Diceros bicornis minor: one gene and its partner. The protein of the gene in region 1 interacts with the protein of each later gene in a pairwise test. Links are inferred from orthologs where the notes say so. Each region holds a gene or a part of one and is shown on either strand. Other genes may lie near its edges.

Region 1 (3,905 bases):
CACGCACCGCGCACTTGAAGAGGCTCCGGAATTGCTACGTTGGGGCGGGTGCATTTGGTTGGAAGGGGACCAGGAGCCGGCCTTGAGGCCGCGTTAGCGTAGCAAGCATCCTGTTTTTACTTAGCTTCGGTTGTTGACTTCGGTTGTGGCTAACGGAGATTTGAGGGGTACTAGGCACCCTCTCAAGCCACGCCTTCAGACCCCAGTTTAGAGGGAAGCCAGAGGCTAAGGACTCAAAAGACCGCCGCAACTCCGTGAGAGCCTCGGCGCGGGCCGCGCCCGCCGGGCGGGGAGACACCGCCTCGCGTCAGGGGCGTGCCCAGCCCTCATGGGGCGGGGCCGCAGGGGCGGCCCGTGCCCGCGGCGCTGGGGAAGCCCCGGCCACTCTCGCGGAGTCGCCCCGGGGGACGGGGCCTGTAGCGATGCCCCGCCCTCCTGCTCCGGCCCCTGCGTGGCGTGGGGGCAATTAGGGGCCGCTCCCGCCGGCTTCGCTGAGGGGACGCCAGCCCCGCCCGGCGGGGCGTGCACGCCCCGAACCGTGAGGTCTCGCGAAGGATTCGGCCTGTTTCCTCATCCGGAAAACGGGGGCCTCGTTATCCCGCCCTGACCGGCGCGGGACAGTCGGTGGGAGGGGTTTTGGTGATCCCACGCTCGCGACCTCGGCTGAAGGGGTCGTCGAGTGACTCGGCGCAGAAATGGCCGAAGGCCTGACGGCGGCAGGGCGCGGGGTTTATTAGCTGAGAACCATTGCTGGCCCGCTGACTGCGGTGCTCAAGGAAAGGGGCCCCCCCTGTAGCCCAGACCCCATCCTCCGAGGCCCCGCCGACGGGGCTCTCGGGCATCTTCCCAGACACTGCTCTGCATGCACCTGGAAGCTTGGGCGTGCCGCCATGGCTTTAAAACCCCCCCACACAAGGAGAATAAGGTCTCATTTGCTTCTTTCACGTAACCGGGTGATGACCGCCTTCCCGAGCCTCAGGCACAGAGCTCCATCCTCTTTAGCGCCCTCCTGGGCCCCGGCACCGGGCGAGCGTTCAAGGTCCACCCGGTTCTCACTGAGCCGACAGCGAAACAATGCCCTGCCCGCGCGCAGGAAGGGTTGGCGGGCACGGGCGGGGTCGGGGCGGCAGAGCGGGCCAGCCCCCGGCCAGGTCGGGGCTCCACCTTCCGGCTCCTAGCGCCCGCCGGCGGGGGACGGCGCCTCTGTCGCGTCTTTGGGGCCTACGTGCGTCGCGACACGGCGCGGGGCGGGCCGCGGCCTGGGACGTCCCCTCGGCTCTCCCGGAACCAGTCTCCACGACTGCCGCACCGACCGGGGCGGAGAAGGCGGGTCCTCCAGAGCCTTCGAGGCGGGGGCTAGAGCGGCCAGGCCACCGAGGCGGGTCGAGCCGGGGCTGGCGACGGCTGCGTCATGCGAAGGGCGGGGCCGCCACGGGCGGAGGCCGGAGCCGGAAGCGGAAGAGGCGCTCGGAGCTGGGAGTGGGGCCTAGCTGCAGCCGGAGCCTGGGAGACGGTGAGTGTGGGCCCGGGCCCGCGAGGGCGGCGGCGGCGGCGGCGGGGTCTGAGTCGTCGGGGCGGGCTCGCTGGGTGCGGTACCCCGGGCTCCTGGTTCGGTCTTGGCCTCCTCTCGTTCCTTCTCGTCGGCTCAGTTCAGGCCGCGGCCCCGACCTCTCACCCCTGACCCGCCACTTCTCCCCCGGAGGGCGGTCACCACAGACCCCGACCTCTCGATCCCGCGGTGTCGGAGTCCGAGTCTGAGGGGCCTCTGAGGTCCCTGCAGGGATCCAGTTTCGGCCCTGCACCTGCCCGAGGAAATGGGGTCGGGGTCCTACGCGGGATAGCCTGGAGGGGCCTTCAGACCCCACCCCCCCAACTCCCCTCGAGGCTTGTTCCGCAGACGACTCCTTCCTGCGCGTCCTGGCGTTTGATTCTGCTCCAGGCTGGCCTTCCTCCTGCCCCCCAGATCTCCCCTTGCTGCCATTGGCGGCGGTTACGGGCCACCGGGCTCTGGGACCTGAGGTGACAGGAAGGGACGCCAGCGAGGGCCGCGGGCTCCCTGCGTGTTTTGTTGTGATGGTGGAGCCGTTCCAGCCCGGGGGAGGGGCCTGGCCAAGCTGACGGTACAAATGCCCCGGCTGCTCTTCGGCCCGAGCGGCCCGGGAGTCTCTGTGCTTTAGTTCCGGGTGTGGGTGCCCTGGTGTGGAGCTGGGTTGGGGATTGCCTGAGCCAGGCCCCCGTCGAGGCGGAGTTGGCGGCCTTCCAGCTTCCCTTCTCCATGCCCTTGAAAAGGAGGAGCGTTTCACCCGGTGGTGGCAGCTTGCAAGGTGGCAGGTTTGAGGTTGCAGTGGTGGGGCAGCGTCAGCCAAAAATAACCATGGGGCGCTGGGGTGGTAGGGATCCGGGAGGGCAGCCGCTGACCTGGCTGGCTGCTCTTCTTGTCAGCCCAGTTCTCTGGCCAGGAACGGCAGATGAGAAGCCAGCTCGGCCTGTGCTCAGAGAAAAGCTGGCATCTTCCGCCTGGTTTCCTTCATATTACCTTTCTCTTCATTGTGCAGAGCAGAGCTCTCTGGAGCATAATTGTGGCCCTTAGCATTTTGAAATAACCCGTTTGCTGTGGTCTCAGAGAATCAGAGATAATTGATGAGAAATGGGCCCTAGGGGCCGGCCCCATGGCGCAAGCAGTTAAGTGCGCGCTCTCCGCTGCGGCGGCCCGGGGTTCGCCGGTTCGGATCCCGGGTGCGCACCCACACACCGCTTGTCAAGCCACGCTATGGCGGCGTCCTATATAAAGTGGAGGAAGATAGGCACGGATGTTAGCCCAGGGCCAGTCTTCCTCAGCGAAAAAAGAGGAGGATTGGCAGATGTTAGCACAGGGCTGATCTCCTCACAAAAAAAAAAAAAAAGAAAAAACAAATGGGCCCTAGAGCCCTGGCTGGGAAGATAATGAGGGGCATGTAGTATTTCCAGTGTTTCACTTGCCTAGAATGTGTTAAAGGAGAGGTTATTTTCTTTGATTGCCTTGTGTGTGGTACTTCATAGCTCTCATACTTGTCATCTCCTTTGCCAAGTTGGCTGGGAGGTGGTGGTGTCTCCATTTTCCAGGTATAGTAACCAAGGCCTAGAGTGACTTGTATAAGGTCAGGAGGCCAGTAAGTGGCAGCACTGGGATTTAGTTTAGGGTTTTCTACTTAGAGCCTGCACCTTCACCCCCCCAACCTTGGAAAGGACTTTGGAATCTTTTTAATGTTGTTAACGAAAAGCTGCCTTCAGTACTTCTTGTGGGCCCAGACCTGTGCTAGGCATTTGACCTGAAGGCATGTGCTAGGCATGTACTTAAAGGAGTAACATAATTTAATCTTCACAGAACCCTGTAAGAAATTACTATTCCCTTGTTGCAAGAGGAAGCTGAAGGTCAGAGTAGTCTAATAACTTGCCTAAAGGCACACAGCGAGAAGTGGCAGTGCCAGGATTCAGATTGACATCTATCTAACTCTGAAGACGTCTTCTCTCCACTAATATCACCATGTGTGGACATAAGATCTTCTAGGTCCCAGGAGGGAGTCTTAGGCCTAGGACTAGACCATGTCCTCCAGCTCTGTCTGTGCAGTCAGGATAGGCAGGGCGTCTGCCCTGGCTACTGGAGCATCTTCCATGTCACTTAGTGAGTGAGATGTGAGATAGCACCTTCATTCCATAGCTTGGGCACCTGACCAGGGTCATTGCAGAAAAACAGTGAAACATTAGTCAGCTGAGCATCAAAACAGAAGAGCAGTCTAAGCTCTTGAGGAGTTGCCAGTGATTTTACATAGTATTTGTCTCGAAGGATCACGAGGGCCTGGACTTCCAAGTAGACAGGGGAAGACACGTGCTAATGGGGAAATTGAGGGCAGTGACTTTCTCAGGAT
Region 2 (3,905 bases), on another chromosome or scaffold:
TTCCTCTCTTTATGGTTTCCTGGAAGCTAAAGAGAACATGTCAGGCTTGTCTGAGCAGGGCTGCGGTTACTGGTTTATGGCGTCGGTGGGCCAGGTAACAACTAGATAAGGCCCACCCATATTACGGAAGGTAATCTGTTTTACTTAAAGTCTACTGATTTAAATGTTAATCTCTTCTTTAAAAAATACCTTCCAGGGCCAGCCCGGTGGCGCAGCGGTTAAGTGCGTGCGCTCCGCTTCAGCGGCCTGGGGTTCACAGGTTCGGATCCTGGGCACACACAAACGCACCGCTTGTCAAGCCATGCTGTGGTGGTGTCCCGTATAAAGTGGAGGAAGATGGGCATGGATGTTAGCCCAGGGCCAGTCTTCCTCGGCAAAAAGAGGAGGATTGGCATCGGATGTTAGCTCAGGGCTGATCTTCCTCACAAAAAAAAAAAAAAAGTTCCCAGAAAGATCTAGAACAATGAGCAAATTTCCAGGTACCGTGGCCCAGCCAAGTTGACCCACAAAATTAATCATCACAGCAGAGAAGGACCCTTCTTCCCACACCTTAGGGATCTCTGCCGTCTGTATTTCTTATTACCGCTAGACAGAGGCAGCCCCTGGGAGCCCTCTGTGAGTTTCATTTTCATAGCGTTGCACATCTGTCTCCCTCCAGCCTGTGCTCTCCTGGGCCTATTTTCCATCCTTGCTGGGGGGTGGGGGGGTGGGGAAGCACCTGATGAGGCCCTGCAGGTGCCCACACGTGTGCTGAGGAACTGGGCACACAGAAGCTCCCCCGCACTGACCCCTCCGGGACCTATTCGCCCAGTGGCAGAACTGAAACCTGAGTGTAGCTCAGCCCTTGCCTTGCTGCGCGTCCCTGAGCAAGTCACTTCCCTCTCTGGGGCTCTTTCTCCTCGCTGCTCTCATTGACTCTGAGTTTCCAGGCCACTGAGGACAGGGGAAAAGGGAAAGAACCTCCGAGAACAACCTTCGCCCCTTGTAAAATGTTAATTACTTAACAAACACAAAGCATTCGCCCATTCTAAGCGCTCTGCAGGTGTTACGTAATCCTCACATTAATCCTACGAGAGAGGTACCATTGTTATCCCCTATTTAACAGGTGGGGAAATTGAGGCACAAAAAGGGCAGGCAATGTGCTCCAGCACACAGGTCTGGTGTGTATCGAGCCCCCACCATCGGGCTCCAGAGGCTGCGAGTTGACTCAGAAGGCTTCTGGGAACCGCTGAGAGGCTAACCCCAGCTGCGAGGGCAAACTCGAAACCAAGGAGATGGAGAGCTGGGTGAGTTTCGGTTTCCTGGCTCTCGGCACAGGAGTTTCTCTTTCTCTTCTTCCTGCTCAGCCATTAGCTGTCGGCCCAGCAGCCAGCAGGAGCCATGGGCAACTGGGAGTCCCACCTGTACACAGTGCCTGCTCATAAACTGGACGGGCTCATCCGGGACTCGCTGAGGCCCTCTGAAGACTGTCAGAAGCACATCGACAGCACCGTGAACACCCTCTGTGCCGCCCTGCAGGAAGCCGAGCCGCTCTCCCTGGAGAAAAGGGTCGCCAAAGTGAGTCGCGGGCTGGGCTCTGGGTTTCTGGGAGCCGGGAGATCTCACAGCCACTGGAAGGCAGAGAGACTTGGTGCTGAGCAGCTACGGTGTGCCAGGCTCTGAGCACACAAGACATCAGCTCGTGCTCCCCACACTCGAGTGAGCTGATGGGAGATGATGTACAGCTTAGGAGCACGGGCTAGGAGCCGGCTCTGTCTCTTCCTCCTGTGTGACCCAGTGCAGGTTGCTCACCCTCTCTGCGCCTCAGTCTCTGAATCTGTAAAATGGAGGAGGAATAATACCCACCTCGGGTATTCTTAGCACAGATCCTGGTACATAGTTAGTGCTCAATAACTTAGCCGTGATTACTCACTGTTATTGTTTCCCTCTGCCCCATATCACAGAGGAGTAAACTGAGGTTAGGAGACTTCAGTCAAACTACCAGAAGTTGCTCTGTGGTTTCTCAACAGCAAGGAGGCGGGGAGCTCTTATCAGTCAGAAATGTATGGTGCTGTGGCCACAAATCCCAGGACTGAGGCTGACGATTCGGGGTTAGAGATCTGCCCCCCCGCCCCCCACCCCCACCCCACCCGCCCCATGCTCTCCGGCACCAGCTTCCCTCTTCTCGGCAGACATGTGTCTTCTGGCCTCTGCCTTTAGGCACACTCAGGATCTCTAGCAATAAAGACACCTGGACACTTGGTGGCCCCCGCCCTGGCCCAGATGGGGAAACTGAGGCATGAGGAAGTTATTTAATAGCTGTCATCAGAGCTGGAATTTAAACCCAGGCAATCTGCTTGGGAGCATGCGCCCTTAACCACTATGCCATCCTGCCTCTCAATATTGTTAACTTTTTTCTAATTAAAATAAAACATACAAAAAGAAAAGTGCACAGATCTAAGTGTACAGCCTGGTGGATTGCCACACACAACATACATGTGTAACCTGCACCCAGATCAAGAAACAAAACATTCCACCCGCCAGAGTCCCTGGACCCCCATCCGGTCACTACCTCCAACCCCAGGCAACTGATCCTGACTTATAACAGCATAGATTCATTTCATTGGGTTTTTAACCTTTCTAAATGTAGGGTGACCAACCGTCCAGGTTTGTCCGAGACTGAGGGGTTTTCTGGGACATGGGCCCTTCAGTGCTAAAGCTGGGACTGTCCCGGGTAAACCAGACAGGTTGGTCACCCTCTATAAGTGCAATCATGCACTGTGTGGTTTCTGTGACCATCCTGTTTATGAAATCTATGTTGTTGTGTGTAGGTGGTGTTTATCATTGTGTTGTTGTATGTGTCTCCACTGTGTGGGTACACCACGTTTGTCCATTCTATTGTTGATGGCCATCTGAGTTGCCTCCAGTTTGGAGCCAGTATGGAAAGTGCTGCTATGGGCATCCCGATTCAGGTCTACGGGTGGACGAATGGACGCCTGGTCACTCAATTTTAAGAAATGGTGACATTTTGGACTTTTGCTTGAGTTGAGAAATACTACTGCCTGCTGGGGTGCCCTGTGACCCCAAAGGACCCAGAGTCTCACATCTTTTTCTCTATCGCTGGCAGGGTGGCTCCTATGGCCGGAAAACGGTCTTAAGAGGCAACTCCGATGGTACGCTCGTCATCTTCGTCAGTAACCTTGAAAAATTCCAGGATCAGACGAAAAGCCAACAGGAAATCTTCAAGAAAATCTGGGAGTGTCTGAGAGCCTGTCAGGTCACAGGCCTGGAAGCCAAGGTGCAGATCCAGAGGCCCAACAGTGGGCTCACCATCCATGTGTCCTCAGGATGGCAAAGCATCACTTTTGAGGTGCTGCCTGCCTTCAATGCGCTGGGTGAGCCCACCTGGGTGTATGGGTGTGGGTTCAGATCTGGAAGGGTTTGTTGAGAGAGCAAAGCCAAAGAAAGGGGTGGCAGACAGCCATGTGGGTCCTCTAGGCTGGGGATGGGATAGATACCACTGGTGCTTTCCAAAGTGGGGGACCATAGACCTTCAAGAGAGGAAGTCTCTCCTACCTGGGCTTACTCTCTTCTCTAGAACTTTTCTGTCATCTCTTAATTGACTTTGGCGAAAATGTTCTAGATTCTAGACTCTAGAGAAGAGCTTCTCAAACTGTGACATGCCCACAAATCACCAGAGAACCTTATTAAAATGCAAGTTCTGATTCAGGAGATCAGGGGCAGGGCCTGGGATTCTGTATGTCTAACCTGCCGTGATGCTACTGCTGCTCTGTGGACCACACTTGGGGATTTAGACTAGAATAAACATTGGTTAGAGGAAGAGGATGGGGCAAACATCTGGGAAAAGTTCAGCTGGGGCAGGCATTTGGAGTCTGCCTTCTGACCAGGTCAACATCAAGGCAAGG

What was found.
Region 2: the proteins of CLK3 (region 1) and OAS2 interact in binary tests that used the Homo sapiens proteins (3 or more experiments, as listed by UniProt). The two-hybrid records come from large-scale screens. The link is inferred for Diceros bicornis minor from reciprocal best matches to the Homo sapiens genes CLK3 and OAS2.

Annotation. Positions count from the first base shown.
Region 1 is NC_080744.1:67,566,310-67,570,214, forward strand, and holds the start of CLK3 (dual specificity protein kinase CLK3), read left to right. Parts: upstream 1-1,411; coding exon 1,412-1,513; intron 1,514-3,905. UniProt on the Homo sapiens protein: Dual specificity kinase acting on both serine/threonine and tyrosine-containing substrates. Phosphorylates serine- and arginine-rich (SR) proteins of the spliceosomal complex.
Region 2 is NC_080774.1:11,025,777-11,029,681, forward strand, and holds the start of OAS2 (2'-5'-oligoadenylate synthase 2), read left to right. Parts: upstream 1-1,347; 5' UTR 1,348-1,380; coding exon 1,381-1,557; intron 1,558-3,106; coding exon 3,107-3,374; intron 3,375-3,905.